Linked DNA regions of Drosophila melanogaster. The protein of the gene in region 2 interacts with the protein of the main gene of each other region in a pairwise test. Each region holds a gene or a part of one and is shown on either strand. Other genes may lie near its edges.

Region 1 (7,667 bases), on a different chromosome or scaffold from region 2:
TATGAGCAATGTTTAATTAAAGTGTCACATAGTAAACAGAAAGGAAATTATTGTGAAGCGCTGTGCAGTCAATAAAGTATAACTTGAGTTGATTTGTAAAACACCCAGGATTACTGAACAAACTCCACTTTTTTTTATTAAATGAATTGGAATGATTTGGAATAAAAATAGACCAGCATTCCCTGCTATTATTATGCGTCTTCTTTCCGATTCTGCAGTATTAATTGGTGACCTTTCCGCTCCTAATATGTGACCCCTCGCTGTCCGTTGGCACCCACACAGAGACACTTCGAAGGACACCCACGGGACACACGAATGGAGGATGGGTGCCACTCACTTACCTTGACAGACGTGGCATTGCAGGAGCACTGCAACAGCAGCAACAATAGCGAGCTGCGACCATGTGATGATGATGGGTAATCCGTGGGCAATCGGCGTGCTCGTCCTTGTCGATGGTTTTATTGTTGCTACTGCTGCTGATGGGGCTTCCGCTTGTCCCTGACGACGCGTTTTCCACGAGGTGGTTTCCCTGACCAACCTGCTCGCTTTCCTCCACATTTTCGGCTGGGCGATTGAAACAAAAGGCGGAATCAAAGCAAAAGTAATTTCGTTGGCTCCCAAATTTTTCCACTCGTATCGAACTTTTGGATGCCTCGACGGTTACCAGAATCCTGCGCTTGCGTGCGTGGGTGAGAATGCCCGGGGTTTTGGTTTTTCGGGCACAGGTGCTTCCAGGCCGGGGGTGGGGCTTAGGTGGGAGTTCGGAATTCCGCGCTTCGACCTTGTTTCAGATTAGGTTTTCTTAATTTTGGTGGGTTTCCTTTAAGCCAGCCAAAGAGCTTGGCGGCAAAGTGTAGTAATCCGTAGTCCTTGGCGAAGTCCTTGTTTCGAGGTCTCAAAGTGCTCTATATACACACATTGCTTCGCTATATATATACATTTATCTGTATGTACTGTCGGTTGGTTATTAATTTTCTGTTTACTTTTTGTATGTTTTAACTTGTAACTTATAGTTGCATAACATTTGCTTTTTGCATTTGCAAACAATGCAATTTACGAATACCGCACTTATGAATTTCTTTTAGAAATTTCTCTAATTATTGCACAATTTTCACATTAACATTTATGGTAGTCGAGCTTATACGCGATTTACTTTGAGTAAATCTTGTGTTTGGTTTTATTTTAATTGATTGTGTTAAATAAACGGTAAAAAAGAAACGAAAAAGTTTTATTTTGGGCTATGCCCATTCTCGTTTTAACGGGTTTTCAGTTCGCGCACTATTTTTATTCGTTTCTACATGGATGCCAAAATTATATGAGTAATATAAGAGTTGATTTCGTAACCGGCTCAGGTGCAGTAGTCGCAGTCGGTTGCAATTTCAGTTTGGTGCATTCTCTTCTTGTTGTGCAGAATTTTTCAGCGCCAAAGTGGAGGAAAGTGATGCGGGAAAAAAGCGTTACGCGCGTCAGGGCGAATCAAGCTTCGGACTTAGTGTGACCGCAGCGGGAGTAAAGGAATTCGCTTTTGGTGTGGCTGCACTCGCGTCCCCGAAAGATACCATGCGGTGCTGAAAGAAATACCAAATTAAATCATTATGGGTTCAAAATATACCAAAAAGCAGAGGCTTTTTTTTTAAGGGGGATTCAATTAATAAGTATACTTTTAAATAAATTAATAAGATGTAAGACGATATTATCTTTGAAAAATGTATAAAATTTAAATAAAACTTTAAAAATCGTATCTTTTTGATCCAAATTTCGGAAAGTGTTGCAATTTCATTTTCGAATTGTATTGTCAAAACCTGCCGCTCAGGTAGCGCACTCAGCGACCGTTATATTCAAAATGTTTGTGCTGAGAGCAAAATTATTGAAAAAAAGTAAGAGCCTCGTCCATTTACTCATCTGTTGTCCTCACACTATCTTTAGTGCAACCGCAAAGGCCACAAAAACATGACAGTACGCACAGGAAAACAAGCATTGCAAATGACTTCACAACTGAAATGGAAAAAAAAAAATGCAAAATACGGACAGTCCGTATGCGGTTTCGTTGTGCCAAGTTAAAATATTTGCATTTGCGGTCTAGTCTTTTTGCATTTTCAACCACCAAATAATCCCTTCAGACTCTGTTTGTGGGCTCTATGTGTATATAATTTTTTTAGGCTGCAATAAGGCTCCGAGTTCATTCTTGCACTCGTTTTACTTTAAAGTTTTGGCCATAGTGTATACTGAGATAAGGAGTAATAAGTAGAGAAGGGTATAGCATTGGAAAAACGGATACTAGAGGGAGGTGAGGGCGCAGAGTAAAGGATTATGTGGGAAGTGGAGGGCGTTGCGCATCCGGCAAAACAGAAAGAGCAAAACTTTTACTACAAGCGCGTAAACACTGCAATTTCTGCACGAGGGGTAGTCTAAGAGCATTAAGGGGAGGCAATCCGGAAGTTGCGAATGGAATGGAAACAGGATTCTGCGCATATGCTGTCCTACGAATGCGTAAATTATGAATATATCATTCAAATTAAAATGTAAAGTTAGAATAAACAATAATAACAGCGAAATATGTGTGGAATTTATATGATATTCTGCGTCATGCACCACAATGCGCATTATATAATAATTGTTATTATAACACCTGCATAAGGCCTATTTTTCTATTTCGAAAGAATGATTATTCTTATGATGAAGAACGTTCAAAATATTACGCGCCAAGCTTGAATCCAAGTTCTCCACCCCGGTTTGAGGACGCACTAAAATGTATAATATTCCTGCGGGATATTTCTGGAACTTTCACAATCGATATTCGCTGCGTAGACATCGATGCTGCCGCCATCGAGTTATGTTCCATCCCTACGTGCAACGGTCACTCTTATTTCATCAAACGAAACGGACGTGTTTCTGCAGACTATTTACATTACAAAATTGTTTGTAACAGATAGTGAGCCGTGTATACATAACGAGGTGAAGCAGACGATGCACTAATGTAAAGGCGCAGTGCCAGAGCAACTTTTTGGCGTGTTCCCCGCGTGGAACTGCATTTTTTTTTGTTTCCTTCCTCAGTTTTGTGTGTGGAGTGCGAGCGAGAGAGCGTGCTAGCGAGCAGGAGCAGAACGGTAAGTACTGGCGGCCAGACAGAGACAGAGAGAGCGCAAAAAAAGAGCGAACGGCAAAAAGTCAAAACGGTAAAAAAACATAAACCAACGCCTCGCCTTTTCGGGGAAAAGTATTACCTGAAAATCTGAAAAAGGTTAAAAACCTACAAAAAGTCCCCTTGCCATTAGTGTCAAATTACGAATTGGCACTTGGCTGCCCATTTCTCATTCTCAATCCGGGGCTGAGGCTGCTCAGCTGGACAAGGAGAGGGAATAAATTCGTAGCAGGCGCTGCTTTGGTGTTCATATTCATCATATTGTAATTTTGATTCCTCGCAATTGCAAAATTTAAGCATACGTTTTAACTTCCTCTAACGCCTTTAATTACAGAACAAATTACCGTGAAATTTTAGCACTAGCCGTACGTTATTTTGTATATTTGTACGCATGTACGTGTACGTGCCCCTCGTCCGTCTGCACAAATGCAGATGTGCATGTGCATCACAGTGAATTGGAGTATTTTTATACATGGAATATCTGAGCTATTGTAGTATTCCGGATAGAGCCAACAACCACAAAGACGAGGAGTTTCCACGAGAAATAGGAAAAAGGAACGGAGGAGCAAATAAGCAGCAGCAGGAGGAGGCGTAGAGCTTGACCAGGTGTCAAGGGAAGCCGGATAGGCTTAAAGGCAGGTCTACCTTAGGAACTAAGAAATAGGATAAATCGAATACCCTTATAATCATCACATCTACCAATCGAAGCACAGGAAGCGGTAAGTTTCGAAATCTGACTTACAACTTACTCCCATTCTAGTATTTGCTTGCTTTTTCACGCAATTTACATTAATTGTTTGTTTATTAGTTTAATAACACACTACTACTACTATAACACACTGCCTCCAGTACGAATGCACTCCCAATAAGCGATCGCGATCCCATTTAGAGCAGCACCCACACACTCCAACTGGTTTTGTTTACAAACAAACATGAAACAAGTGAGCCTATCTGCCAGCCAGGTTTTCGTTTTCCTCGCCATGGAGTGAAAAGAGCCATGCACGTACTTCGTCTGCTGGAAAACTGGTTTTCTTCTGGCTTGAAGGTGCTTGGCCGCAAACTGCAGCGGAGTTGGTTTTTCTAGGCCAGCAGAGAGCTCCAAAGAGAACACCACAGTGAATATTGGCCAATGTTTGTCTTCATATTCTTATCAATCAGCATTGAACGCTTGCTTAGCAAAACAACAATGAAATTCCGTTTGGTAGTATTATAACTAAAAGAAATCATATCGTAAACAGTTTTAAGTGATCTAGTTCTTGCGGTCTCCACTGTGCCGATGGAAGTGCTGACGGAATGCCAAACTGGTTGTAGCCATAAAGACGACAGCAGCCCATAGCTCACCTCCTACGCTCGCTGGCAGCTGCTTCTTTGTGGCTGCCTTTGTTTTGTTCCGCTTTAAGGCCAGTACTGACTAATAGCGCCACTTGTTACCGTGTGTCACCTATGTACAAGTATTTAGGCTGCGCAAGTGACTAGTCCATTGATAAAACCGGCGCGATAAGGTGTCGAGCCATCTTCGAAAGCATTTTGGATGTATACACGCCCCGCGAGTGACATCATACACCACATTCCAATTAAAGAGCTCAATTGATTGAAATATTAAAGAATAAAGAAAAGGGTAAAAGAGGGAGTGCATTTGTAAAATAGCCCTTAGTCATAAGATGTAAACACATAATTTGCATGATCATTTTTGGTTGCTTTTGCACACGTTTGATTTAACTCTCATTCGCATGTACTCACGGCTTTGACTGAAAACCTAATACGCCAAGCATTTTCCACATCGCCAACTCCATTTTCACTTTCATTTCCATCTTACTAACATTACGATTTGTACATCTGTTTTGCTCTGGCCGCGGTTTTCCTAACTCTCCGTGTGTGCCTGTGCGTGTGACGGTGCGATTGTATGCGTGTGCAGATCCTTCGAAGGTCCTCCTATGTTCCCTCAACAGGGAGGGGGTGGGAAGGGAACCAGGCCACAGTCGACACATCAGCAGAACCACAACCATCAAGCCCAGCATCACCAGGCGACGCACTCGCACCACCATCACCTCCAGCAACAGCAGGAGCAGCAGCAGTCCCACGCAGTGTTCGTCCCGAACCACAGCGGCCTGCACCACCACCAGCAGCAGCACTTACTGCAACAGCAGCAGCAGCAACACCAACAACAAGCAGCCGTCGCCGCCGCTCATCTTCAGCAACACATCCAACAGCAACAACAGCAGCAGGTGCAAGCCCAGGCCCAGGCGCACCACCAGCCGGTCATCTTCTACAATACCCAGCCGTCCTACGCCGCGCATTCCGCGGCGGTTAACAACAGTGCCAACGGCGGCGGCGCTACCCTCCAACTGAGCGCCGCCGCCAGTTCCAACACGTTGGGACATCCTCTTACTGGTGGTCACCATGGTGGAGCAAATGGCGTGGCGCCGGGGTCAAACATGCCTCGTGCCCTGAGCAACCCAACTCTACCACCCCACTTTCAACAATCAGCTGGCCTGATCGCACCTGCCGGCGGAAATGCGGGTGGACCCTACATTTCCGCCACCTATATACCAATTAATCAGACCGGACCTCTGATGGGCATGCAGCCAGCTGTGACCTTTCCCACTAACGGAGCGGCTGGAGCTTCATTCTATGCGGCTGCGCCACCTCCTCCACAACAGAAACAGCTTCCTCCCACTGCTCAACAACAAGGTCCAGGCGGGGCACCGGGAGCTGCTCAAACGCCGACACTAGCTTACTACCAACTTGGGCCGAACGCTCAAAACTCTGCTGGAAACAACGTGGTTAGTGGTGCCAATACACATCGCGGCAATATGCGCGGAGGGCAAAGATCTACTCCCACCGCCCAACATACCAACTACTTTACCGCATATACCATGGCCCCAGGAAATGCCCAACGTCCCGCTCCGACAAATGTGGCTCCAATGATGAACTCGCGCAGCGGTGCACTGAACGGAGCTGCTGCTTTTCATCATCTGCCGCACAACTTTGGCATTCCCAGTTTGGCATTGGGACCGCCCGCCGGGATGACGACCCCTATTTTGGCTCCGGCTGGAATGCAGGCGCCGCCACCCCAACCACCAGGCGGGCTGCACACATTTGCTCCGCACTTGCAGAGCAACAGCGCCACCACCTTACCTAGTGTCCCAAGTGTGACTGGAGTTCCCGCGGTGGCCAGTGGTTTTTCAACCACCTCGCTTCCAACTCCGTCAGTAACAACAGCACCGCAACTGGGGGCCAACAGCGATAAGGTATGCAAGCGCAAATACGCCATTCCCATCATCCATCCTGACACCATGGAGAATGTGATGGATGGATGGAAAAGATCGGTTTTTATAAAAAAGGACTCAAACTCGACACTAACACAGCACACAGATCTGGACACAGCTCTGGATGACAATAGTACCTTGTGCCTGTACCAGGCGCCCACTCTGATGGACTCTGGCTCGGGGTCATCGTTATTGTCTGGCGCAATGGTAGATCAGCAGATGCAGACTGTGAAGCCGGCGAGTTCCCTTAAGCAGTCCGTTTCCTTGGAAAAGGTGCCAGAAGCGGTGTACTGCAAAGACGCTGTCGGTCAGGACGTACACCCATCGCCTCCACCCAAATCAACGGATAAAGATCAGATCAGCGTAATTGTAAAAGACATACTAGCCCACTCGGGCAACGCAGAAGACCATCTAAGCTTCTGGCAATATAGTGACGGTGAGTTCATAAAAACGTCCAAATTTTCTTTAGAATTGTATTTGTAAACGAAGGGAAGCATCTCAATATCGTTGAAATGTTGAATTGAAGTTAGCCGGGCTTCAAGTGTCAAAGTCTAATGATTCCTCTTGCAGTGGACAATGTCACGGAGACCCACAATAGCCTGCCGCTAGTACAGTCGGACTTGCCCGATACAACCGATACGTGCCAGCAGCCAGTGCTTTTCCAAGAGCAAGCCAAAAAGCAACGTCCCAAATTGGCCAACAAACAAAGTATGTTCCGTGACAATTAATCCATTAACGTCGACTAAATTGTTTGCTCACAGGTACAGCTACGCCAGCATCCATAGCGAATGACGTAGCTGAGGCAGCAGCCAGCGGTTGCCCAGGCGTCTCCATCCTGTCCAGAGGCCAGTCGATGGTAACACCAGCTGGCCCCTCGACACCCCCGCCACCTTCGCGTGTCGCCCAGCAGAAGTCGACCAAGTCGATAGTTACCACAGCTGTAGCTGCGTCGGTTAAGCCAACAACGGGTTCACCCAACAGGAAGTCGAGTATTCAAGCCGCCACCTCGACTACGACCAGTTCGGGTGCCTCTTCGTCGACAGCCTCAACACCGACCCACGCATCTAGTAAGCTTAAACAGCAGCCTGTTAACAATCTGCAGCATGGAAAGCAGATTCCAGGAAAAGTATCAACTCCAGCATTACCACCGACTGCTTCACGAATCTCGGCCGCTGTTACCCTGCTTGCCGGCACCGCGAACATAACAACCACTACCAACTCGTCCAAGAAACAACGGCAGGCCCAAAAACGGGCCA
Region 2 (7,995 bases):
TCGGCACGCTCCTCCTTGTTGCGCAACAGGGGGACATTGTAGTCGAAGGCGTAGAAGAAGCCCTTGGGCTCGCCGGTCTCCTCGGGTCCGGGCACATATGGCGGCTCCTCGTGCACGTAGGGCTGGTACTCGGGCTCAGTGGGCTGGTAGCGACCCTCCTGCTGGTACTCGGCGGCATAAGGATCGGGATTGTGGCCAGCGGCGGCGGCCAGCTCACCCCACAGCTTGAAGTGCTCCTCCTCGGCCTTGAGGACAGCCGGAGTCTTAGTGGCCGGCAGTTTAAGGTGTGCCGGACGATTGTCCTCCACATGGAAACCGGTCTTATCAGCATAATAGTTGGCCACAAAGTCACGGCCATGTGGTTGGACATACTTGTACGATCCGGTCACTTTGCCCGTCTCATCGCGCTTCTCGTTCTTGCCCTGGTTCCAATCCCTATAGCCATAGGCAAATTGACCCAAACCATCCTGACCATGATACTGATGGGCATCGTAGTGCTCCTCCACATACTCCTCGGGATGCTCGATCACACGACCCATGTAGACGAACTCTCCCTTCTCGTTGCGCGCCTCGGGCAGGGGATTCTCACCGGTTTTCGGGGCATACTCGATGTCGCCAATGCCACGCAGTTGGGCGCTGTTAAGGAATTGCTGCGCCTCCTCGGGAGTTATGTTGATCTTGAAGATGTTCTCACCGCTGGCTAGTGTGGCCTGAAATGAATTAAGCGTAAAAATAATTAGCAAAATATTAAGACAAACCATTAAAGTGTGACTTGGGTGGTTAGCAGACTTTATGGCCAATTTAACACGCTACACAATTCTCGAGAGATCACAAAAAGAAGGGGTATGATGTCATATCACCATCATCATCATCAGTGATTAAAGTCTCATCTCACATGTAACGCGATGTTTGCTTAATTTTTGCACATTGTATAACTTTCGTATTTGCACTTTACGATCCGGACACATTTGACATTTATAGAGTCACCACAACCCGGACTTTAATTGAATGGATCGGATGGATCTATTCAGAGATGCTCGTAAATATCAGCTTAATTATGCAAATTATCTGCATTTACCAGCAACAGGGCAGCCAAGATGTAGCACTTCATAGTGGATTCGATTTGAAATATGAGTTATATGTGTGGTTTATCCAGGTATCACAACGTGTATTCGCTATTCTCCAGTTGGCGGGCTACTAATAACTGAGTAACCAAAAGGCACTGCTTATATACTAACTTTTTAGATCTACTTGGTATTGTTGTTTTTTGTTTTGCGTTTTGCATAAATCTGAATGAAGATGTGCTGGCTGGCCGACTGTTTCACTGACCAGCAGCAGTCTGAGCTTCACCTGTCCGGTTTCTTACTCAGCTTTAGAATCTCGATTCGCAAAGCCAGTGGCGGCAATTTGAAGTTCATTATCGGCGTCGCTCAAATTCGCACTTCTCACACTCGACTACGGATATATGAATATTTTCGGAGTGATGCGGAGACACCTATGGAAACATTATTAATTGTATGTATGCCGTTTGGTCAATTAGTTATCTAATAGCTTTGTGGTCTACCCATCTATTGTTGACTGCCACAGAACCCTTTTCGAAACGATTCAAGTGGCATTTTCAGCGCTCGTTGGCTGTCAGTTTCGAGTATCTTAAAGATACTTTTTTGACCAATCGGAATTCATTGGTTCAGTAAGCATATTCGGCGACTGGGTGTCTGAAATCTGGTTTCGATCATCTTATCTTGATGGTATAACTAGCATTTAGATACCCATTTTTCTTCATAATTCTTAATTTTATTTGTTGCATAATTTATGAAAATAGTACGAAAAAGTACAATTTTTTATACAGGTTCTGTATAAGTTACAAGGTACCCATTAGTCGAAACCTTATTTATCGAACTTTATAACCTAACCACTTGACTATGATTTATTTACAATTAAGCATCTTTGAGCGCTTCAATTACTTTTTACTTCCAATTAATGCAAAGTATACTGCCTAAGGTTTAACTTTGACTCCGGGTTTCCTGTAGATCGGCGGAAGTTTTTTTGTTTAGACATGCGCCAAGCACTTGAAGTCCGCAATTGACTGCTGCATAATTAGATGCGATGCGATTGGAATAGAGGATGCGATGGGTAATCACATCAACACTTGGACAGGCGATCAAGTGTCAGTTCAATAAGACCGGCTCAAGTGTAATTAGAGACCACGGATCTTGGGTTTCGGGAAGGGATCTTGGGTTTTCGGATCATCGATCCAACGATCGTGCCGAGCTCTTGAAAGCCGCTTATTAGGCATTTACAAGGGCAACTGCGCAGTTGATCGGTTACAAAATGACTTAACTATTTAAATAATAAACACGCTTCACGTTTCTCAGGCTAAGTTCGTAAGCATCTTCAATTTTCGGATTGCGTCTCAACTGCAACAGTCTATTTTGAAAGTCAAGCGTTTCTAAAAGCGCCACATCATCAGCGGTAATATTATCCATCCCTCATAAATATTCCCATGTTGTTTTGGGATCTTTTGGCTATTTTTAAAGCAGACAAAGGCGAGCCAATAATGTGTGGAAAGAATTTTGGTTGGATTCAAATACGAAGCAGCTTTGGTAACAACTAAGGTTCTGGGTTAGTCATGATTCACCAACAGGTTAGACTTAGTTTTGTGGCAAAATTTAACCAATGACGTCCAAGTTCTAACTAAAGTAATATCGTTACTTTGTTATTTTATTTTTGGATATTCTCGAAAGTTTCTGGAATTCTCAAGAAAACTTAAACAATATAGAGTCGCATTATATGGAAAACTCATTGATTCATTCTTATGTTTGTTATTTTGTTATTAAATTCCAATTGATGATGCCAGTGTCTAAATAAAAACGAAGACCTAATTTTCAACCAAAAATCAGGTTTTCTGGGCTTGTCCGTATTAAACATTTTTGATAATTATTTATAATATATTGTTATTTTTTGCTGGCTTCAAAACATCAACAAATTGTGTATGATAAATGACGATGACGTTGTTGTTGATGGCGATCGCGCTGTGGGAATCAGATGAAATGTCAATTAAGTTTGCATTTATATCTTTGATTGAAGCTCTAAGATTTGCTTTGCCATTTTATGCGGAAGTTAAGCTCGGTCAGTTCTTGAAAAAGTTCCCATGGGAGCAAGTTATTTGTTTTTTGACAATAAGAAGCGTTTATTTAAAATGGCTTATTATGGCCTCAATGATTCCTAATAGGCGTAACTTACTGGTTATAAACTTGTTTAATATCGTTTCATTTTAAACCTGGATGACAGAAAATGAATTTCGGTTCAAATACAAATATTACAATAGAAAGTATGATATTTAGCTCCGATAAACATTTAACAATTTTAGTATTTTAATGGTGAAATGGTAAATTCCGCGCATGAAAAGAGATAGAAGAGATGACATATATGGAAACCTTAAAAACGTAACGGTTGCTTGGGTTTTATAACAATCAGTCAGTGACAGGCATTTCCAGAGTTGCCCTGTTCAACAATCGATAGCTGCCTTCGGTCGCTCGTCACTAACTTTCCTTTAGGCAACGGCCACACTGTCTGGCCACCAAAATCCCAAACTTAATTAAAGAATTAAATAATTCGAATAATAATTAAGCCCAGTAACCTACGCAGCTTGAGTGCGTAACCGATATCTAGTATACATTTCGATACATCGAAATCATGGTAGTGTTGGAGACGGAGAAGGTAAGGCGAGAAACGGCGAGCCGCATGGTTTCGATTTCGGCTGAGCCGTGGCAGGAACAACAAAAACAGGGTTGTTGCACAAGAGGGGAGGCGATAGTCGAGCGGAAAAGTGTGCAGTTGGCGTGGCTACATCATCATTGTGTTCACCGATTATTTTTTGCACAATTGCTTAATATTAATTGTACTTGCACGCTATTGTCTACGTCATAGCTATCGCTATCTCTGTCTGTCTCTATCAAGCTATCTCTCTTTCGCGGTCACTCGTTCTCTTTTTCTCTCCTTTCGCATTTGCATACGCATACCACACGTTTTCAGTGTTCTCGCTCTCTCTCTCTTGTCAAGACATCGCGCGCGTGTGTGTGGGTGTGTTCTTCTTTAGCTACATATACATAAATAGGAGAGCGGAGAGACAAATATGGAAAGAATGGAAAAAGAGTGAATTACTGCAATTAACCAGTCGCGAACAGTTAAATCATATTTTTGTCGGCCATTGCAGTAAATAAACCGTTGGCTTTCCCTCTTCACTTTCCACCTCCTTTCTTTGACGTTAATTTTTTTCAGTTAATCGCGCCGCTGCTTTGAACTCGAACACGAATTTTAGCCGCAACATAAAATAAAATCAAGTAACTCTTTTAACTCAAATATAAAACAACAATTCCAATTCTTTCAACAGGCAATCTGTGTTTTTATGTCAGATACGTGCGCGTGTGTGTGTGTGCTGTAATTCCATCGCCCCTTTCGATTCCGAGTTCGTTAGGAACAGCATTAGTTCGCCTATTTTAGTAGTAGCCTAGTCCGATTTTAAGTGAAACAGGATACTCCAACACCATATACTCAATAATTAGTTACAACACCCACTCAACCATACAGCAACAACAAGTTTAACGAGTTTTTTGTATTATCATTACTTAGTTTTTTGGTTAATAATACACAAGTGAAGAGCGAACTGCAGGGGAGCGAGATATCACGAAACAATCCAAAATCCACACACACTCAAACAGAAATCAAAAGCTTCGCTCTCTCGCACACACACGCACCAACCAACTATCAACTATCACAAACACCGCGACAGAGAGAGAGCGGCAAGTGAATCACGGCGAATCGAAACCGATCCGAACCCACTCCGGAGCCGAAAAAGAACTGATCCTACCATCAAACGCATCCAATAAACACGGCCGCCAACATGCAGAGCGACTTTCACAGAATGAAGAACTTTGCCAATCCCAAGTCCATGTTCAAAGTAATACTCTCAGTGCGCCTGTCGCTAAGCCAAGCTAATCTAATCTTCTGATTCCCCTTCCCATCCATTGCCATCTTCTCCCGCAGACCAGCGCCCCCAGCACCGAGCAGGGTCGTCCGGAACCACCAACTTCGGCTGCAGCGCCCGCCGAGGCTAAGGATGTCAAGCCCAAGGAGGACCCACAGGAGACTGGTGAACCAGCAGGCAACACTGCAACCACTACTGCTCCTGCCGGCGACGATGCTGTGCGCACCGAGCATTTATACAAACACCCGCTCATGAATGTCTGGACGCTGTGGTACCTTGAAAACGATCGGTCCAAGTCCTGGGAGGACATGCAAAACGAGATCACCAGCTTCGATACCGTCGAGGACTTCTGGAGCCTATACAACCACATCAAGCCCCCATCAGAGATCAAGCTGGGTAGTGACTACTCGCTATTCAAGAAGAACATTCGGTGGGTTTGCTGTTTATTGCAATTCTGCCAAGATAACCTTTACTAACTGATATCTCATTTGCAGTCCCATGTGGGAGGATGCAGCCAACAAACAGGGCGGTCGTTGGGTCATTACCCTTAACAAAAGCTCCAAGACCGATCTGGATAACCTATGGCTCGATGTGGTAAGTGCACAAAGAAACGAGTGGTGAGCGGATGGTCTATTTATAGTGAATGTACATTCTTGAAATGCAAAAATATAGAAATAGGTGTATGATTTTGCAATATAAATTATAACTTATAGAAAATATCAGCTAAAAATACGCTAGTGCTAGCTTTTGTCTTAGGAACATTCAATAGTGAGCTTATATCATAAATATTTTTCGCATATGAGTAACTACAACTGTTTTGCCTTCCAGCTGCTCTGCCTGATTGGTGAGGCCTTCGATCACTCTGATCAGATCTGCGGCGCTGTTATAAACATTCGCGGCAAGAGCAACAAGATATGTAAGTTTTCACGCACACCCAACTTCAGCGGAATTCCTTTGTTTAACGATTAATGCTTTCCAGCCATCTGGACTGCCGACGGAAACAACGAGGAAGCTGCCCTTGAGATTGGTCACAAGCTGCGCGATGCCCTGCGTCTGGGACGCAACAACTCGCTGCAGTATCAGTTGCACAAGGACACGATGGTCAAGCAGGGCTCCAACGTGAAATCGATCTACACTTTGTAGGCGGCTAATAACTGGCCGCTCCTTATTCGGTCCGATCCCACACTGATTATTTTGTCTTTCATTTATTTATCGTTATAAGCAACAGTAGCGATTAATCGTGACTATTGTCTAAGACCCGCGTAACGAAACCGAAACGGAACCCCCTTTGTTATCAAAAATCGGCATAATATAAAATCTATCCGCTTTTTGTAGTCACTGTCAATAATGGATTAGACGGAAAAGTATATTAATAAAAACCTACATTAAAACCGGATACTTTTGATCTTTGATTTTGGAGATATTTTAAAATAGAAAAAAGTTAACCTATATTGTTTTTGGGATAATTACTTGTTGTATTACTAAAACGAGCTTGTATCCTAATATGGGCACCTAAAGCAAAACTTCCAAATTTGGAATTCAATTTGTTGCTAAAAATACGTTAGCAATTTCTAGGGTGGCCAAAAAAAAATGTGTATCGATATATCGATAGGTTTCCTAAATAGACATTAAAATAATTTTAGCTTTTTACTTATATTGTTAGAGTAAATACGTTTGTATTTAAAAAATAAGTCAGTATTTTTTTTTTATTAACCTATTATTGAATTTTATATGAGTGAGAGCTTTTCCATTCAGCCAAGAACGGTCACACTGCATGTGACATGTTTCAATTGTGTAGGCGCAGTCACACTGGTCGCGTCGCTCGTAGATATCGTGTAAGGATATGTCTCCGTGTTTAGCTAAATAAAATACATAAAATATATGTGCAATTCTAACAAGCATAGCCATTTAGCGTAGAGTAGTGGAACGAACAGCTCGTACCGGGCCAGTAACAACAAATTAACAAGCAAACGCACTAAAGTTTGTCGCGGAATAAAGATATAATAATAGACCAGCTAACCAACACAAACAAACACACACACGGCCAGAAGTTCGTTGGCGTTGAAAGGGAAAAATGAAACGAAATGAAAGGAGAATAACAGTGCAATAGATTCGGTTTACATTGTGCAAAAAATCGAAGTAGCCCCTGCCAACAGGGTCGCTAAAAATAAAGAAGGCGACAGCCTCTGTTTATCGTTGGGAATAAACAAATATATGGCCAGCGGAGGAGAATCATAACAAAGGCGCAAGACTAGCCAGCATAAAAGACAAAGGAGCTCTCCTCCCCCGCGTCCGCCACCCCCCTCCCTTTTTGGGGTTGAAAACCCCCCACGCGTTGCGGTGCAGCATCGCCCCGACTATGCGATACCCTGCAATCGAGTTTATAGTGCTATAGAGAGAGAGAGAGAGAGCGAGTTACGAACAAAATGCCTTGCGACAACGCCAAAACCTCTTCGGATATCGAGCATGTGGATTGGAATTCCGGCCAGCACTATGCGAATGTCAGGTGAGTTTTGAATGCCCTTGATATGGCCAAAAAAAAAGGAATCCTATAAGTTATTCAAGTACACCAAAGAACAAAAAAAAAAGTAAAATAAAGAAAAACGAGAAATAAAATAAAATCAAGTGCAAGCACGCAATTGAAAAATCGTGGGATGGTTGACATTCTTCTTGGCATTGTCCATTGTTTATTTATAGCCAGGAAACGGACATGATTTAAATGTTTGATTGTTCGTCGTTTGGGAAATCACAATAATTAAGTTCTCAACGCAGGCTGCAAGTGCTAAAAATCAATGTGTGTTCTTTGCGCCACAATAAACAAATCCAGCTGTCCATACCGACACGCAGATAAGATATACCTTAATCGAAATGAAAACGAAAATAACCCAATTTCAAGCAGCGATTGATTCATTCCCTTAATTTGTTGCTCTGCACCAACATCAACTGTTGAGATCTCAATCGTCGTAATCCCCATCTAACGCCTGCTAATGACAATCATTAGGCAATAG
Region 3 (8,082 bases), on a different chromosome or scaffold from region 2:
CGGAATTATTTAGCAAAGTCACCGAACAAAATGGTAAGCCAAACACAAAAACAATTTTTTAACATGAAAAGTAGCTAATCAATTGGCTTTGTTTAACTGCAGTAAGTGACGAAAACTACATACCGATGAATCCAGTCAATCCTACCGATGCTATCCATGAAAAGGAGAAGGCTGATATGCAGAGATTGGAAGATGCTTCGCTGCATTTCAACTTTCCGGAGCACGCGTCGGAAAAGCTTGCTAAGGATTTTGATCTGGACTCTGATAACCAGTGAGTACACATTTCGCTTCAACTGTGCCACGTAATGCAATCAATCACATCTTGTTACAGATGCTGTCGTCCCATTCGCGCCTATTCGATAGGCAACAAGGTTGAGCATTTAAAGTTTAATAAGCGCCTGGGACACTTGAATGATACGGGACAGAATCCGAATCGCGTGCGAGCCTACTCGGTTGGCTCCAAATCGAAGATACCGCGCTGCGACCTGCAGCGAGTGGTCCTCGTGGAGGACAATAAACATGAGTTCACAGCGAATAGGAGTCAGAGTAGCATTACCAAGGAAGGAACCAGCTATGGCAGCAGTGCCAATCGACAAAAGAAGTCCACAAGTGCTCCACTCCTCAGTCTGAAGAACCAGATAAACTCCGACCGAATGAGTGACTTAATGGAAATTGATTTTTCACAAGCAACCAATTTGGAAAAGCAGAAGTTCATCAAGAATAATGAAATTCCGAAATACATTGAAAACGTGTTCCCAAAAGCCCCGCGAACGGATAGCTCCAGCCTAACTCTGCACGCCACAAGTCAAAAGGACATTTTCAATGGCACCAAACTAAATAACACTGCGATCACATCCGAGGATGGTTACCTCGAGATGAAGCCAGTCGGTAATGGATACACTCCCAGTTCGAATTGCCTGCCAATGAAAGTGGAGAAACTCAAGCTATCCGACTATCAGACAGCACCGCCACTCACCGCAACAGCCGCACCAGTGCACGATTTAAACAAAATTAGCACATACAATATATCCGCTGAGAAATGGAGAGAACAGCCCAGCAGAAGCGAGGAAAAGAAGTCGAACTCGCCATTGAATGACAACACCTTTAGCTCGAAACCCACAAATGTCGAGAGTACAAGCAAAAGCCATGATGTTCATTCAGCAAATCAAATTGATTGCGAGAAAGTGTGCGCGCAGAGCAGCGATAAGCTAAATAATCATCTGGCCGACAAGATTGTCGAGAACAACAATTTGGATATAGGCGGGCATGAGGAAAAGAAGTTGGTTCATTCGATAAGCAGCGAAGACTACACACAAATCAAGGACAAATCGAATGATTTCACAAAATTTAACGAAGCCGGCTACAAAATTCTGCAAATTAAAAGCGACAGCTCACTCATCTCATCGAAGCTATACCAAAAGGGTATACACAAGGATAACTTGGAGCGTTCGCAGAGACTTACAGAGAGTGTGAATACGATTCCCGATAATGCCACCGCCACCGCGGTGAGCAGCAGCTCACTCACCAAATTCAATATAAATTCAGCAAAGCCAGCCGCCGCCGCCGATTCGCGTAGCACTGGCACAGATCCAAGTACACCACAGAACATTCTACAGATTAAAGATTTGAATTTCCCCTCAAGGTCGTCGTCTCGCATATCCCAGCCGGAGCTGCACTACGCCAGCCTAGATCTTCCCCATTGCAGTGGCCAAAATCCAGCTAAATACCTGAAGAGAGGATCACGCGAATCGCCGCCGGTGTCCGCATGCCCGGAGGATGGGAATACCTATGCGAAAATCGACTTTGACCAATCCGACTCCTCTTCCTCCTCATCGAACATATTTAATACGTAAAGTTTTGAAATTTATGACCCTATCCTATATATATGATTTGTTTAATATTGTACATTTATTGTAAATATTCTGACAAGCAAAGCTTACAATTTTGGATGCTAATAAATAAATTTTATTTAAATTATAATGATCCCTTTGTACTTTTTTTTTGGAATCTAGTAAATCGGGTAATTGCCAATGGTAATTCTTCCATGTAAGTAAATCTAGGATTTAGCTTGATCCAAGTGTACTTCTCTTGTCCGAAAATCCTGTAATTACTTTTAGACCTTTTATTTGATTTAAACCCTTTACTAAAAACTGGATTGATATTAAACGACCTTAGCCTGCCTTTTAATAGCATTCGACTAACTTTCCTTACCAAATCCCCAATAGTTAATGTTAATACTTCTCAGCACCAAAACCCACAAAGTGAACGAGCCTTTTTTTTATAGACCAGTCATTTCAGTTATCTTAAGAGCGCATTTAAAAATTGAATTGCTTTCCATTTATTTAATACAATTTTGATTTCTGAAATAGTTCATCTGTTTTTATTGATTCCACGATTTAGACTCTATTTCAGATACTAGCGTTACACAGGGCATATCCGTTTTATTTGCTAACGTTGCCCTCCTCGTTCGCAGAATTATTCAGATCACTGTTGTTGCAAGTATCGCCAACGGATGCGCCAACGTTTGCGACATAAAGGGCGGGGTCTATGACCTTCGGAATAGGCTTTATTTCGGTTCCAAGTTCTTTTTCAATCCGATGCAGATCAAACCGATCCTCGTAGGTTATCAGATTAATAGCAATACCTTAAAATGAGAAACGAAGATTGTAAATAGGCTAAACTATAATATGAGAATGCAATTAAACTCACCCAAATGACCGAAACGTCCTGAGCGACCAATTCGATGCAAGTATGTCTCTGCCATTCGTGGGAAATCGAAATTGATTACTACATTCACGGCCTGCACGTCGATACCACGGGTGAACAGGTCGGAGCACACCAGATTGCGACAGAGTCCTTGGCGGAAATCGTGGAATACTCGATTTCTGTGTGCCTGGGCCATCTTAGCGTGTATATAGTAACAGCAATATCCAAGCTCTGTGATCTTTTTGGCCAATAGCTCGACACGTTGCGTGGAATTGCAGAATATGATAGACTGATTGATCTGCAGCTTCGAAAAGAGCGTATTCAAGCAGTGTACTTTCTGGCGCTCCTGTACGAATGCATAGTACTGAGTGACACCCTTCAGTGTTAGCTCCTCCATCAGGTTGATCTCGTAAGGCTCGCGTAAATGCTTCTCCATGAAATTCTTGACTGTTAGTGGAAATGTTGCGGAAAATAGCAAGATCTGTGGATCCTTTGGTAACTTTAGTATAACATGATCCAGCATGCCTTGAAAATCAAGCGACAATAGCTTATCGGCCTCATCCAAAACTAATATTCTGCAATGCGACATATCGGCAACTTTCTTATCCATCAGATCTAATATTCGTCCGGGAGTGGCAATAATTAATTGTACTGCAGGCGTAGGGAAAATTTAGAAAGTTGCAATTAAACCGATATTAGGTTATTTAACTATCATCAAAACCCACCTTTTTGATAAATACGAAGAATGTCATCCTTTAGAATGGTACCTCCCGTTGTGACCATTACCCGGATATCAAGATGTTTCGCCAGCTCAATACATATCTGTGAGGTTTGTAGCGCCAACTCTCGGGTGGGGACCATCACAAGTGCCTGAATGTAGTCCTTGGTTGGGTCGATTTGTTCTAAAACTGGGATGCAGTAGGCTCCTGTCTTGCCTGTGCCGTTCTTGGCCCGAGCCAGCACATCTTTTCCACTTAATGCTATAGGAATAGCTGCTTCCTGAATTGGCGAAGGGCGCTCCCATCCCTTCTCGAATATACCCATAAGCAGTTCTCTTTTAAGGCAAAACTCCTCGAATTCATTGCCTCGCGTATCGGTCACATCCTGAGTAAGGCAATGGCAATACATTTATTTGTTAGTTTGTTTGTGCTTTAAATTGTATAAATTCCGATTGATTTGTCGGCAAACTCACAGTTGTTTTGAATCGGTTGTCCTTTGGCGGCAGCTTCAGCTTTGATTTCCAGCCCATATCGTCACTTGTGTTTCCAGCAATTTGAAGATCATTTATAATCCTGGATGAAAAGAAAAAAAATAAAATGGTAATTAAAGTATTACGATATATGTAGGTCATTCACATCCATATATATATGGATGGCATATATAAGCATATATATATATTAAAAATTTTTGATTTTTAAAATTTTGTAAATGAGTTCTTTTATGTAAAGTGCATTTTAAGCTAAAGTCTAAGCCATGTATTAATGTATATTAATAATAATGTTAATATTGATTTTAAATCGTAAACAAAGATGGATAATGTCTTGAATATTTAAGAACTGAACAATCTAAAAGCGATTGAACTCAACATTTTTTCTCTTTCGCACATTTATGGAGGAGAGAAAAAGAAACGCTACTCCAAATTTTAAAATGGCAGCCCACGAATAACTGTTCATGGCGCTGAAATGCAAAAAAAAAATACCTGTTTTGTTCTGATCTCAAAAGTTGAGAATCACCCAATAGAAGTTTTACCTAAATACAGTGTTAGTTTCTAAATGATTTAAGTCAGTGCAATTATATTTAGCAACATTTTTAGCGGTAAATAAGTCCACGAGTGCAACTACATATGTAGATAACTCTTTTATACATATGTACACATGTTCCGCTACTACATACAATAAAGTAATATAAATACGGGAATCACATTGTTTGGTTTTTTTCATTAGATAACATGTTCTGCAGGTTTAGTTGTTGAGTGAAAACAGCCTAACTACATGATGTTGCTAAAATACAGATCTTCGGCTTTTACATGCTCAATCATTTGCAAAAATTGACGTTCTAAACTATAAAACGGCTTGTCTTTTCGGCATCTAATCATAAATATGGGCTGATGAATACGCATGCATATTATGTTTGTTGGGACACCAAGCTTGGGTCCTCTTGTGAAAAAAAAAATATAAATAAATATAAAATATACAAACCCCTTGCTTGTTAAATTAGTGTGCCCAGAATTTAACTTTTCAGTCATCATTATTCACAGTGAAATTTTAGTTTAGTTTGTTTAAAAAATGTATTTCGCTCTCTTTTGCTTTCGGCTGACTAATGAAGTCACTGTATTCACCGATTTTCATATACTGCTCACGTATTCAACTTTGCGTTTCAATATAAAATTTCACTTAGCTTCAAAATAGTCGAGTCGCCTTACAACATGCTATCAATAATACAAATTTCTGATGACTCGGAAAATATTTTCACTCGGTGTAGATAATAAATATGTATTGCCCTGATTTGGAACGTTGGAATGAAACAAATTTTGCAAGTTCAAAATGACGAACAATAATATTGTAGAAATTTATACATGGCTTAACAAAAACAAATGAACGTTTTAAAATTAGTCCACATATTTAGGCAAGAATTATTTTATTTAAAAAAAATCGGCATTTAAATTTTCCTCTTATAAATCCTGTAGGTGTATATGTATACCCAAATATTTCACATTTTTGTTGTGTTAGCTGCTGTTGCCGTTATTTTAAATTTAAATTAATTTAGAAAAGCATTTCCAATGAGCAACTCCACTCCGGCCGGGTTAAAATCACCGTTTAATTATAACAAAAACAATATATGAACTGCATTTCAGATGAAGCAGCTGCCTGTGTGAACGGGACTTAGGAACGACAGGAAGATTTCGAACGTGTATGAAAGAAGAACATCTGAGTTAAGCTTTAATTTGATTGTCTGCGATTTTTATGAATATCTTTTCATTTATAATTTATAAGTATTAAATATTTAATGAAAGATCACATTAGAAACTAACTAATAACATTAAAATGAATAAAAATTATTTTTTTGATTTTTCTTTTCTTAACCAATGGATTTATACTTTATTTATACTTATTCCGATTGGAGAATGACAAAATTAATATATTTGTATTAGAATAAATAAATAGTACTTGCGATAGAGGAGATTTGTATATTATAAAAATGACATTTATGTTTGCGATTTTAGTTTGTGTCATGAAAGAATATATGGAAAAAAGTCAGCTAATAACTAGACTTAAGTTAATTGAAAAGATAAATACTTGCGTATCGTTGACATTTTCCAGGTGATTTATGGTGCGTAGAGTACTTAGACGATTAAAGGATCCATTGCTTACCTCACCCACCTCTGTACATAAGTGTGTATGGATGTGTGTATCTGTGTACCTTATCAATTTCCCCTTAATGAGCTTTGCACAATGTTAACACGAGCAGTCGCATTTGTCTTGCCGTCAGAAGCTAGTGTACAAAGTCATCAATTGAATTGTGTAGATAGATAGATATGTGTTAGAACCACAAAGTACCTACATAAATATGCGGCCATTTGGGTGTATTGATACCATCCGTGAGCACCCCCAGCATGCTAAGTGTTAGGCACTCCATGGGGCATAACTTATTTGTATAGGCTTACGAGAATCCATAAATGTATTGCCTATATACGTCGAGCTATGTCCGTCTGTGTGCGGGCCAAATGTTTACCCATAAACATTCGCATTTGCTCGCGAAGGAATCGCGAAGACTTCAGTTCAGTTCGTTAAATCCGGCAACTGCATGCGGTTCGAAGTGTATATGGTCCGATAACGATTCCTCAATGATAAGATATGAAAAGTCCGTTCTAAGAAAAGATACAAACATTACACAAGCTCGCAAATCGGTCATTGGGTATAATAGACGAGCCGTAAACAATGAACATCGGACTAAGTTTAGTGTGCCTGATTTTAAGTGGCATTTCAAAAGTGCTCGCCGTTCAGTTATGCTGTGCCGCGAATTCGTTACTATTCAAATATCGCCGCACTGTGGACAATGCGGAAATATACCAGTGCGCTTCCGCCGCAAGCAACATCAGTGAACTTCCGGATCTTGCCCAAGTGATAGGCAAATTGATACCACCAATGGGCCTTGGATTAGAAAAGGCTATCAATGACTCAGGCCACAGCCAATTCGCACTATCAAAGTGCCAGAACTTTAGCAGTCTGAGTATAAGTGATTTAGGTGAACGCACCTTGAATTTGCGAAATAACTCATGCATTGGACTATTAAACAGACGTCTCATCGTTTTATCTTGTGAATTCGAAAAGAATGTGCCGTCTCAAAGTGTTGGATTTGTAAACAAGTGCTGCCCACAGGGATTTATTTACGTTTCCGAAAATAATACATGCAAACCGGGCGAAAGCGATTTCTTTGTTTATACTTCCATCATCAGCAGTCCAATTATATTTTTTGATAACACCCTAAACTGTTCCGACCACAGAGCACTCGTGGAATATACGTTGTCCTCCGGAAAAGTGCACTTTCATAATAATTCGTTGATTTGGAAAGATGGAACCAACAGTTTGCCCAGCTCCAAGTTTTGCATCGAAGCTATTCACGACTCCGACGATGCGGATTTGGATAGAGGTGCATTACCGGAACAGAAGTTTCTGGTGCGTGCTTGTCAGGAAATGAAAATTTGCCAAAAAATACCCTGTATTCGTCGTTGTTGTGCCGAAGGTGAAATGTATGCAAAAGGAAATTTCAGTACCTATTGCAAGATCGATGGAACCGATTTCAAATTTGAGGGTTTTCAGAACCTAAATATCAACGCAAACTTCTCAAAGCCCTCAGGTATGTCGTCACCAGTTTTGCAGTTATTTTTATAGGTCTTTATAGCAGGAAACGAGCGGCAATTGAACGCAGTAATCGCCCATTAAAGTCGTAAACTTAATGATCAAAAATATTATTAAGAATTGGAAGCAATCGATTTTGATGTTTTCCATTTGTCTGATCAAATAAGTGGTATAAACAATTGGTTTCAAGTGCCAAGCAAATTTCGCTATTGAAGTTATCTACGTCATTCATTAGTATTGACATTTTTCATTAGCTTTGTCATTTTAATTATTTTTGTCAAATTTTCTTATCTGGTTAATCAACAAGTGAATGACACATTTGCCTTTTCATTGACATAGGTCAGATTGTATAGTGTATTGTATTCAATACTTTTCAGATTTCGGTATTGTTCACGGCTTGCAGTGCCCAAAGTTTCGCTTGGATCCTGATAATTTTCCAGACGATTCGCATACGATAAATCCGTCCAATGGCTCGCTTATCATTCATAACACATTCAAAACCTATACGAATACTCAG

What was found.
Region 1: the proteins of eIF4E1 (region 2) and eIF4G2 interact in a two-hybrid assay, tested with the Drosophila melanogaster proteins (one study listed by BioGRID).
Region 3: the proteins of eIF4E1 (region 2) and me31B interact in binary tests that used the Drosophila melanogaster proteins (3 or more experiments, as listed by UniProt).

What each region holds. Positions count from the first base shown.
Region 1 is NT_033777.3:23,814,421-23,822,087, reverse strand, and holds the start of eIF4G2 (eukaryotic translation initiation factor 4G2), read left to right. Parts: upstream 1-2,850; 5' UTR 2,851-3,107; intron 3,108-3,268; exon of another isoform or gene 3,269-3,476; 5' UTR 3,477-3,861; intron 3,862-5,057; 5' UTR 5,058-5,076; coding exon 5,077-6,847; intron 6,848-6,981; coding exon 6,982-7,119; intron 7,120-7,172; coding exon 7,173-7,667. Other genes in the region: CG34355 (uncharacterized protein), read right to left, coding at 342-558.
Region 2 is NT_037436.4:9,398,005-9,405,999, reverse strand, and holds eIF4E1 (eukaryotic translation initiation factor 4E1), read left to right. Parts: upstream 1-3,539; 5' UTR 3,540-3,696; coding exon of another isoform or gene 3,697-3,720; exon of another isoform or gene 3,721-4,083; intron 4,084-4,194; exon of another isoform or gene 4,195-4,343; intron 4,344-4,393; 5' UTR 4,394-4,903; coding exon 4,904-4,960; intron 4,961-5,046; coding exon 5,047-5,417; intron 5,418-5,481; coding exon 5,482-5,581; intron 5,582-5,815; coding exon 5,816-5,903; intron 5,904-5,966; coding exon 5,967-6,130; 3' UTR 6,131-6,382; downstream 6,383-7,995. Other genes in the region: Cpr67B (cuticular protein 67B), read right to left, coding at 1-710, 1,079-1,111; CG4080 (uncharacterized protein), read left to right, coding at 7,414-7,493. UniProt on the Drosophila melanogaster protein: Recognizes and binds the 7-methylguanosine (m7G)-containing mRNA cap during an early step in the initiation of protein synthesis and facilitates ribosome binding by inducing the unwinding of the mRNAs secondary structures.
Region 3 is NT_033779.5:10,236,408-10,244,489, reverse strand, and holds me31B (maternal expression at 31B), read right to left. Parts: upstream 5,150-8,082; 5' UTR 4,955-5,149; coding exon 4,905-4,954; intron 4,552-4,904; exon of another isoform or gene 4,406-4,551; intron 3,999-4,405; coding exon 3,899-3,998; intron 3,811-3,898; coding exon 3,432-3,810; intron 3,358-3,431; coding exon 2,710-3,357; intron 2,645-2,709; coding exon 2,442-2,644; 3' UTR 2,318-2,441; downstream 1-2,317. Other genes in the region: chico, read left to right, coding at 1-33, 103-271, 332-1,853; mthl15 (methuselah-like 15), read left to right, coding at 6,645-7,563, 7,943-8,082. UniProt on the Drosophila melanogaster protein: ATP-dependent RNA helicase which is a core component of a variety of ribonucleoprotein complexes (RNPs) that play critical roles in translational repression and mRNA decapping during embryogenesis, oogenesis, neurogenesis and neurotransmission.